Callithrix jacchus: one gene and its partners. The protein of the gene in region 3 purifies or fractionates together with the protein of the main gene of each other region. This does not show direct contact. Links are inferred from orthologs where the notes say so. Each region holds a gene or a part of one and is shown on either strand. Other genes may lie near its edges.

Evidence for each region.
Region 1: the proteins of UBE2O (region 3) and NAP1L4 purify together in Homo sapiens (affinity purification with mass spectrometry; 3 studies listed by BioGRID, with this or other methods). This does not show direct contact. The link is inferred for Callithrix jacchus from reciprocal best matches to the Homo sapiens genes UBE2O and NAP1L4.
Region 2: the proteins of UBE2O (region 3) and BUD23 purify together in Homo sapiens (affinity purification with mass spectrometry; 5 studies listed by BioGRID and IntAct, counting the BioPlex papers as one, with this or other methods). This does not show direct contact. The link is inferred for Callithrix jacchus from reciprocal best matches to the Homo sapiens genes UBE2O and BUD23.

What each region holds. Positions count from the first base shown.
Region 1 is NC_133511.1:128,856,597-128,860,276, reverse strand, and holds the start of NAP1L4 (nucleosome assembly protein 1-like 4), read right to left. Parts: upstream 2,920-3,680; 5' UTR 2,812-2,919; coding exon 2,780-2,811; intron 1-2,779. UniProt on the Homo sapiens protein: Acts as a histone chaperone in nucleosome assembly.
Region 2 is NC_133503.1:9,994,187-9,996,842, forward strand, and holds the end of BUD23 (18S rRNA (guanine-N(7))-methyltransferase), read right to left. Parts: intron 1,182-2,656; coding exon 1,092-1,181; intron 943-1,091; coding exon 888-942; 3' UTR 582-887; downstream 1-581.
Region 3 is NC_133506.1:132,289,130-132,292,778, forward strand, and holds part of UBE2O ((E3-independent) E2 ubiquitin-conjugating enzyme), read right to left. Parts: intron 3,585-3,649; coding exon 3,472-3,584; intron 3,385-3,471; coding exon 3,256-3,384; intron 2,895-3,255; coding exon 2,802-2,894; intron 1,811-2,801; coding exon 1,114-1,810; intron 842-1,113; coding exon 705-841; intron 1-704. UniProt on the Homo sapiens protein: E2/E3 hybrid ubiquitin-protein ligase that displays both E2 and E3 ligase activities and mediates monoubiquitination of target proteins. Negatively regulates TRAF6-mediated NF-kappa-B activation independently of its E2 activity.

The DNA of each region.
Region 1 (3,680 bases), on a different chromosome or scaffold from region 3:
GAAGTGGTCAAAATACAAAGCAAAGTTCACCAAGTGATCTTTCACGGTTTTCACACTACAAAAACGCAATGCCTGTTACTAAAGCTGGCAAACAGTAAAGCAGCCCGTTCTCTCTCAGAGGCAGAACGGGAAACCAATGGCTGCCAGTTGAAAACAAATTTACACCAATCATCACAAACTACTTCTTACAAATTTCACAGCAGTCAAACACAAAATTATTTACTATCTCCCCCTCGAGAAGAGCTTTCCATTACTATATGCTCAAAGACAAACCTTACAGCTGCAGTTTCGGGAGGCATAAATTTGAACCTCAGAGGTCCCACAAAAATTAAGCTGAGGCCGGATGAGAGCAGTTTCCTGCAGAGATCAGCTACTTCCTATCGAAGAATCAAACTAAGTAAAACCAGCTTTTTACTCTGGATGCCTAAAACACGTTTTCCTTTAAGCAAACAAAAAGTAAGTATTCCTTAGCTAGCAGTCTCAGGCCAAACTCCCAGCAAGCTCATCCCTGCTGTCATATCATTCAAATATAAACTACCATTGCTTCCCAGCAGTATCAGCATTTGCCTATTTCACACAGCTGATGGCTCTCAGGCCATTAGGAATTTAAATCACCTTCTTGCCCACAAAGTACTTTTCTTCCAAAACAAATTGAAAAATTTAGGCCCTTTCACAAAATTTTTGGAAGTACAACACAAACTTATCACAATAGTTTTTAAACTGCAGACAAATAAACGGAAGAAAGAAAAGCACTACTATATATACATATATATTTGAGGTCACTTCCTCCAGATGCTAGAGACTATCAATTGCTCAAAAGAAAAACAGAACAAAGCTTCCAATCTCTACACTTAGCTGCAAATAGCCAACACAAGGAATTAATATGCCATCAATAACAAAAGGCTACTAAAAACTGATAGGTTAACGAAAGTGTTTTCATTTCAGTTTCAAGTTCAAATTCATACTGTAAAGGGGTGAACACATCCTATCCCCAGGTACTTAACCGCCATACAAGTAAGAACTACCTCATGTGGGTAAAAATCTCAAAATCCTACAGAAGAATCTGATGTCTAATGACTCATCTGCAAACGCAATATCCTGTACATTTTGAGGACACCCTAAAACACGTGTAAACGTTTCAGAATTCAGTCTACCAAGGTTGTAAAACTTAAAAATGATTAAAATTTCTCTGCTACTGCAAAGAATTCAACCAATTTCCCCAATAATTATGTTCATTTTGAAAAATAGTACAGGATTTAAGGCTTGCACAACAGATTTACAAACTGTTAAGATGTTATGATACACAGGCACAAGTAACTGCAGACATTCTGAAGCAGTAACTGCTCAGCCAGGAAAAAAAGACTGCAAGTGTATACGTAGTAACAACTATTTAAGACAGCAGTCAGGTGTCACAAAGTCACACCATGAGGCCTACAATTCTAGTAAAAATGTCTCTAGGTAACTGGTGAAGTACTATTAAAGAACTAATTTTTCTCTCTGTAGTCACTCATTTAATCTTTGGAATACATCCCGGTGCTATCACCCCGTTCCTTTCTCTGAACTTCATTTTACTACATTTGCGTATTATTTATTCCGACAGCAATCGCTCATCCCAGTCTGAATCTCAAAATTCTACTATGGGAGGCATTTGGCATTCCGTGGAATAATATAATTTCGAGATGGTAAAGATCAACCAGCTCAACTCCTCACAAGCTAGAGTTCAGTTAGGCTTAGTACAATGATGAAAACAATTTCTCTTTAAAACTTTTTTCATTCCCTTTACAGAAGCGGTAAACCTGGGTAAAGTTAAAACCGCCTGGGTCTTTATCTAAGCTTGGACAAGTCATTCTACGTAAACTCCCAGGGCCTCAGCTTCCAGAGTGGTTAAACGGAAAAACAATAGTATTGATCTCACAGACTACTGGATTATGAAATGAGTTAATACACGGAAGCAGGCTGGAGGCCTAGTGCGCAGTGAACAGGCATTAGTCATTTAGAGGCGTATTTACTACTGCAGGAGGGCAGTAACTTAAAAAAGACTTACGTCTGAGGTCCAACAACCTCATCTACATACTTGTGTATTTTTAAGGTGAGAGAATTTTCAAAAGTCTATTTTTATACTGTATACCTAAATGCAGGTAGTTGAGGCAAGGGACTACTACAGGAAAAAGGAAGGCAGACTTGGGTATGTGAACCAAAGCACAGACGAATGGGCACGACTCCTCCGACAACAGGATGAAATGGCGGACCTTCCTGCCAGAGGAGCGCAGAGTCACCCACACAGGTGATGTGACACACGTTAGGGTCTAAAGGTCCCACGGCTGGAGTCCCCTTTACTGGACCCTAAACTTGTCTGCCTCCTGCACCGCAATCAGAGAACTGTGGACGGTGGAAAGTCTTACCATGACCAGGCCATCCTCCGCTGGGGTGAACGGAGAACATTCAGAAAGGGAAAATTTAAATAAAAAAAAAAAGACTTTGGTCATGTCAAATGTGACCTCACTCACCATCTGTGAACTGAAAGAAAAGCATGGCACTTTCCCATCCAGAACACCTACAATTATTTTTCTTCCGGAGAGTTCGCTTTTCCCTCGTGAAAGACGATTTTAAAACAGTAAAAAGACTTACTGCCCACCTTGCCTAGTAAAGCGCGTCCCGTGAGTAACAGGCTGAGGCCAGTCCCCGGGCAGCGCACGCCGCCCATCGCACCCCACAGCTAAGAAGCGGCGCCGAGGACTTTCTTCCCCGTCAGACGTGCCCTCGGTCACACGAAACTTACTGCCACAGCCCCGCGGAGCCCAGCCCGACCATCGCCCCACGGAAAAGCTCAAACTCCCAAACATCTAACCGAGAGGACCTGGACGTCTCCACCTTAAAAACGGGAAGCCTGGACGCTCCGGCGCGCCCTGCCGTGTAACCGCCGCGGCCCCCGCACGCGGGGCGGACCGGGCTAGCGGGAGATTTGAGCGGCCGCCGCCTCTCGCCGTCTTCGCCTCCTCCGCGTGGCCGCCGCCCAGGAGGCCGCCCGCGGCGCAGAACAAAGCGCCCTGACCTTCAGGGCGGCGGGCGGCCGGGCGGGGCGCCCCAGAGGCTGGAAGGGGCGGCTCGCCAGCGCCCCAGGCCCGGGCTCCAGGCTCCAAACCCCAGGCCCGTCGCGGCCGCCGCCGTCCGCCCAGACCAGGACGCGGCCCCGCCCCTGCCCGGCGCCCCGCAGCTTCCCTCGAGGGCCGCCGGCCGTGCCCACCCTCGGCCCCTCCCGCCAGCCCCGGCCCGGGCGCCCTCTCCAGCGCGCTGTTACCCGCCCAGTGCCGGGGTCTCCGCACCTCGCGCCTCCTGCAGCAGTGGCGGCGACCGTGGCTTCGCTCACTTTAGAGCTGCGCCGCCGTGGCCGCCAACAACGCCGCCTCCCATTGGCCTAGGCTCCTGGCTCCTCTCTCCGCGAGCAAGACCGGCTGCGATTGGGCGAGCGCGGCGCAAGTCAACTGCGCTTCGCGCCGCAGACGGCAGCCAATGAGAAGCCTCCGAAGAAGCGCCGCGCCGTATGCAAATATTCCTCCGCGCGGCAGGCGCCCTGCGTTCCTCCGCCTCTTTAAATGGGACGGGGGCGCGGTGGAGACCCGGAGTGTGGTTCCTTCCCCTGGGACCCTCCCCGGCTCGCCTCGGACCCTCACGAGACACTG
Region 2 (2,656 bases), on a different chromosome or scaffold from region 3:
CCCCACCCTTCTCCCAGACACCCAGCCCCTCTGGCTCCTGCACCCACTCCCAATGTCTTAAGCCACCGCAGCCCTGATCCAGTTCTGTACCGCAACGCCCAGGATCTTCCCCCTCTTCCCACATGGCCCAAAAGGCTCAAGCAACCAGTGGACCTCTTCTATCACAGCCTGCCGGATGGTCCCACACAACCCCAGAGCAGGACCAGCCCTTTCCAACCACTAGCAATGGGACAAGAGATCAGCCCAAGACATCAAGCACTAGACTAGTTGGCAGCTGACTGTGCAGCTCACTGCAACAGGTGAGGCTGGGGCTGCTGGACTGGCATGGCCTTCACAGCAAGGGAAACCAGACTGGCCAGCAGGCACCACTAACATTTCACCCAGGCCCTCTTCCCCACTTAGCTTAGTGTGAGATGTTATAGTCATGGAAGCCCCGAATTAAAGGACTCTGTTCCTTGCAAATTCAAAGAATGTTTTCATGTATGGAAGTTTTTTAAACCTAGTAACTGCCTGGTGAGTCGTGCACTAGCCCAACAGAGGAACCCAAGTTTGTTAAGAAGCAGAGCTGGGAGATGCCAGAGTTTCACAAAAGGAATTTTTACTTCTTGTTTTTAAACAAAGAGCTTTTTTTTTTTTGCCCCTAGAAACGAGGTCTCACTATGTTGCCCAGGCAGGTCTAAAACTCCTGGCCTCAAATGATCCTCCCGCCTCAGCCTCCCAAGGAGCTGGGATTACAGGCACGAGCCACCATGCCCAGCCCAGAGAACTTTTTTTACTGCAGGAAACATTTTCAGAACTTTAGAACTTTTCTCAACTACTACTGGCAACGGAACACGTCAGTATAGAAACCCACGGAGGCGAGCGCCTGCCCAGAACCGCATGCTGACTCAGAAGCGGGGCTTGCGCTTGCGGCCAGTGTACCGGGTGTCGGGTCTGACTTCCCTGTGCAGAAAAGGAACAGGACAATCTCAGAAAAAAAGATCCAAGCAGCCCTGGACTCTTCAAATGCAAGGGAACTCAAGTGGCAACAGGCTTCCACCCCCACCCCTACCCCACCATCCCCCCCTGCCAGTTCCCAGTCTGGCACTCACCTGCCCTGGCGCCTGTGCCGCTCCTTCTTCTCCAGTACCCATGCCCGGCTCTTCCTCACCATTGCCCGCCTCAACAACCTGAATGGGACCCTATGGTGGAGACGCAGCTATGAGCTAATTGATGACACTGCCCGGGCTGGCCCCCACATGTATCCATGGCAAGCTTCCCTCTGAGTCTGGTGGCCTCGGATGCCTTCCCTCAAAGGCTCCACCTTCCTAACTACAAGTCCCCACTCGACATCCACCAGGGCCACGGCAGTTAATGGGAAGATAGGGCAGGCCGGGCCAGGCATGGAGATGTAAAGGCGAGCGAGCAGCCTGTTCCCTCCTTGGGAAGTAGCTAAGCAGCAGGAAGCAGCCGCTTTCTACCCGTGCAGTGATGCAGCAACACCTGGACTTCCAGTGCACAGGCCACAGTTCACGGCAGGAGCTCGGGGAACACAGCTTGGGGGCAGAAAACCGGGACAGAAAGGAGGGTCTGAAAAGGCAGGACTGAAGGATGTGAGGGAAGAAGGAAAGAGGACTGGAGTAACCCTGAAGACCCCTGCGACCGTCAGGAGAAACCAGAGACAGGGCGAGCCAAGGAGCCGCCATTTGGACGCCTGAACCTGATGGGCCAGCACAAAGCAGGAGCAGCGGCACAGCAGGGCTGGAGAGACAGGACAACTCACCTCAAGATTCTAGAAGGAGTATAAAGTGGGAGCAGAATGGCAAACGGGGCAAGAGGTGAGCCATGGGAGAAGCAGCAAGAGAGAAAGTTATCAAGGGAGATAAAGGGAGGAGGTGAAGACACAGCGCCCCGAAGCACAGGTTCGCAAGGGAGAAGTGGGGGCCCATTCCTCCAGGGGCACATGAGAGGCATGGGAGGGTGGAGGCCAGGAGGAAGGGAGGAACAGGCCAAAAAAATACAGCCTGGAGACTGATCAAGTAAAGGCTTACATGACTTATTCTTCACTCACCTATGTACTTTATAACAAGTGTCCTGAATGTGGTCAGACTGAGGTGACAGTAAGAGGAGCCCCTCCCCTGCCCTCTACCTCATCTGAGGAACTCAAAGTATGAGCCCACAGAACAAGGATGGCAAGGTACATGTTAGGCACGGTGAGTCCTGGCCAGCAGGCTCTGCACCCTCAACACACTGCTAAGATGGGTGGCACTATCCCTGCTTTTCAGAAGCTGAGGAATGGAGGTTCAGGTCATTCAACTTACCCACGTTTACTTTTAGGACATGTCATCTAAAGACACCAGTGTCAGGACAAGAGCGATCCTAAGGTGCATGGAGGAGCTGAGGCAATGTGTACTTCCCCTGTGAGGGAGGAGATGGGGTGTTCCCTGGGAGCACGAGATGGGCGCCTGAGAGAAGGGGCATTCCCCCAGCTCCCCATGGGGAATGGGCTAGGGAAGCTAAGAGAAATGACCAAAGGTCCAAGGGGTCAGGCAGCATAAGCCTATGGTGGACGCGAGGAACACGTGACTTTCCCAGTTGTGGGCCTTCGAAACGCATGCATCTGGGGCCCATTTTTCCTCTTAAGTATCTTAAAAGTCTGAAGACCTTTCCCTCATGT
Region 3 (3,649 bases):
ACGGGCCTGTAGTCCCAGCCACTTGGGAGGCTGAGGCAGGAGAATCACTTGAACCCGGGAGGCAAAGGCTGTAGTGAGTTGAGATCAGGCCACTGCACTCCAGCGTGGCGACAGAGTGAGACTCCATCTCCAACAACAACAACAACAAAAGGCAAATACTCGGTGTAAACAAATCATACAAAACACTCTGTACTCATGGTGATACATGAACATGTCGAAATACTTTTTCAATGTATAAAAAATGTAAAAATACATAAAAAAGGTAATCCGTGGTCATCCATTTGGAAGGAGACCCACTAAACTTCCAGCAGTCCTCTGGGTGTGGGAAGAGGCCTATGATTCAGGAAAAAAGGGAAGTCAGAGCCGGTCAAAGGCAACTTTAGCTCTTCTATTTCCACTCAAAGGATCTGTAATGTTCTAATTTTTCCAAAAAGAAGAGCAGGCTTGAGGAGTACTCATAATATAATTAATTTCAAACTCATTTTTTAAAGAAGGGAGAAAAGAAAACCATCTGGCCTGGACACATGGCTCTCCGCCAGCCCTCACCTGGCTGTGCCTGTGACCGCCCCTGTAAAAGGTGGGTGGGTGGGTGTCCTCACAGGTGCCAGTCAGCCCTGGAGCTTTGAGGACCCAAGGCTGGTGGCCTCTTGGGCACTGGGCACCCACACAGCACATCTGCACCTGCCCATGCCAAGCCTACTTGCCATTCTATCTTCAAAAGTCTTGACCATGATGCCCTCAGGCAGTGAGGTAGCTAGCAGTGCCATCTCCTTCCGAACTGTGCTGAAGAACTTCTTAGCTTCTGGAGGCTGGAACTCAATTTTCTTAAAAGAATGATTTGCTAGAAGAGGAAAGAGAGCAGTCAGTCACTCATGGAGAGGCCCTGGAGCTCTCCATCTGCAAACCTGGCTGGATAGGTGAGCGCACCCACAGACTTCCCACTCGCCTTCGCTGGCCTCAGCACTGTAACCATACAGGGAAACTGTTTGCCCTGGGCCAGAAGTTGGGGGCCAGTGAGGACTAACCACCTAACCACCGCACCCAGATCTGGTGACACAAACAGGAGCCCCGAGAAGGCAGGGGAAGGTGAAGACTGGGCAAAGGCTGACTCACAGGGTGCAAACTCCAGCACGGAGAAGACCTCGCCCTTGGCGCTGGTGAAGGTGACGCCAGGCTTGCCACCACACTGCTGACAGAGCACCGGGGTCTCACTGGGCCACTCGGCCTTCACAGGTGACTGCCCCTCGGGCTTGTCCTCCTTGCGCTCTACGTCGGGCACTGCCTCCATTTTCTCCTCCTCTGCAATGGCCACATTGTCCAGGGTTTTCTTGAGGTTTTCCTGTAGCTTCTTTATGTCATCCAGAAACTTCTTCTCCCGAGTTGGCTTCTCAGGCTCCACAGTGGGAGAGGTGGGCGAGCCCGTCAGCAGCTGCTCCACGGTCATGTTCTTGAGGCTCTCCAGGATCTTGATGGCCTCTTTCAACTCCCGGAAGCTCTTGGGAGGCCCGTCCTTGCCAGCCTTCTCCATCAGCCCAGCCATGGGGGTAGCCATGGCCACAGCCCCCTGGACAGCGGCTGTGGCTGCCTCTTCACTGATCACTACTCCCTTGTCCTCCTCAGGGGCCACAGGCTGCTCCGTGGGTGGGATGGGGGGCTCCTCTATCTTGGGGTGCTCATCCTCTACCAGCCCATTGTCCGTCTCCCAGCTGTCACTGTCATCTTCCCACTCATCCGAGGATGCCCCACTGGTGCTGCCTTCTACCGAATCATAGTCTGACTCCTCAATCTCAGATTCGATGTTGTACAAGTGCTGGGGGCAGAAGGGAAGTGCCAGGGTAATGCAGACAGGAAGTTACCTCCCTACCACAAAGGAAGAGCTCTGGGGATCCCTGATCTGCACAGCTGATGGGGACTGGGCTCATGAGGCCTTGGCAACCTCATTCCACTCTTTCCCCACCCTGTGCTCTGGACTTTGCAGTCCCTAGGTCTCTGGGAGAGGCCCTCCACCTGTCCCACCCCCAAGCTGGACCCAAAGCCCCAGCCAGTGGTCTGTTTCAGCCTCCCCTCCCACTCTGTACACTTGGTCAGCATCTGCCCAAGAAGGCAGGCAACCTTGGCAGGCCCAGCCCCACACCTGAAAAGCTCAGGGTCAGCTAACGATGCAGGCAGGGAGGCCCATGTGGGGCTGCACTGGGAGCTGGGAACATACGTTAGGAGAGTATGTGCGGAAGGGCCAGCACATCCTGCTGCCTTCCCTGGAATGACCATTAAGGTGATGGGGCAAGCCATTCCTGCCCCTGCTCTGCCCCATCCCCACCCCCTATGCAGGAGCCAGGAGAGGAGAGTTGGGCCATGCAGCTCCAGCCAGGGAGGCGAGGGAAGGAGAGCCCGTGTGGCCCTTCAGCTCAGGACCCAGCAGCTGGGGCTAGAATGGGGCCAGCTCTCTCCTTTCTCTCCTTTGCTGTTAGAGCTTTCTAGAAAGGGTGATAGGAAAGTCTCCATCTCCTTTTAGGAAGGAACTTACATTCTTCTTAGCATAGTGATAATCCAGGAAAATCCTGGAGGTTTGTGAAAATCTACATGCACCCAGTGATGGATGGGAGAAGTGAGGCTGGTGGGCCACCTGTGGGCTGACCCCAACCCCGCAACCAGGGCTGTGTGGAATGACTGCCTTTCTCCTCAGGTTTTCACTGAGATCTCACCAGGAAGACCCGAGAGCCCACCTTTAGGCTACCTGACTGTGGCCCCAGCCCCAGCTGCCATAGTCACAAGCCCAGCAGGGGGACTTGCCAGAGCCTCACCTGGGGCAGGATGATGGTCTTTGAGTTGTCAGCCCACACCACCTCCACCTTGCTGCTGACATCCACACGGGCCACCTGGCCTACTGATGGCTGCTGGGCAAAGGGGACAGAGTCAGGGAGCCCAGCTCCAGCCCCAGCTCCCCAGCCCTCCTGTGCTCTGCAGTGACTGACATCATGCCCACCCAGCTTGTGACAAGGAACTTAGCTCCTCTGGTAAACGTAACCAGCAGCGGCTCAAGAAGCCTGACACCGGCAGAGAGTCAGGGAAACAAGTCCTTCTGCAGCTGCTAGGGCTGAGCAGCAGCTTGACTTTGGGGCAGCTGCTCTCCTAGTAACAACTAGCCAGAGGACTTTCAGGTCTTGTCTCCTAGAGCCACCTGGTGGCAGCATCAGGGACTGCAGCTGCTGCATAGGGCAGGGAGCAGCGATCTAGAACTTGAATTTGAAGGTCTACCTCATCCTCCTTGTGAGGAGCCCCGTCCTCAGTATTGCCGATGCGGATAACGATGTCAGTTGTACGGAACCTAAAGTCAGGGTGGTCAGCAATGTCGTAAACACTCACATCTTCCTCTTCTCCAATTAGCTGTGGCATAGGACAGGCCATCATGAGCTAGGGGCCTACACCCAACCCCAGAGCCCAGCTGAAGAAAGCAGTAGGGGCTGCACACACCTCCACGTCGTCCCCACTTGGCCGCAGCTTGAACCACTTCACCATGCAGGTACGACCGATGTGGTCGCCAGACTGTACCACACCATAGACAGCAGGGTCTGGACAGCTCTGGACTAGGGAACCAGAGGAAGGGACGCAACTAGCTAAGGGACCCAGGCTAAGGAGCCCACATCTCAAG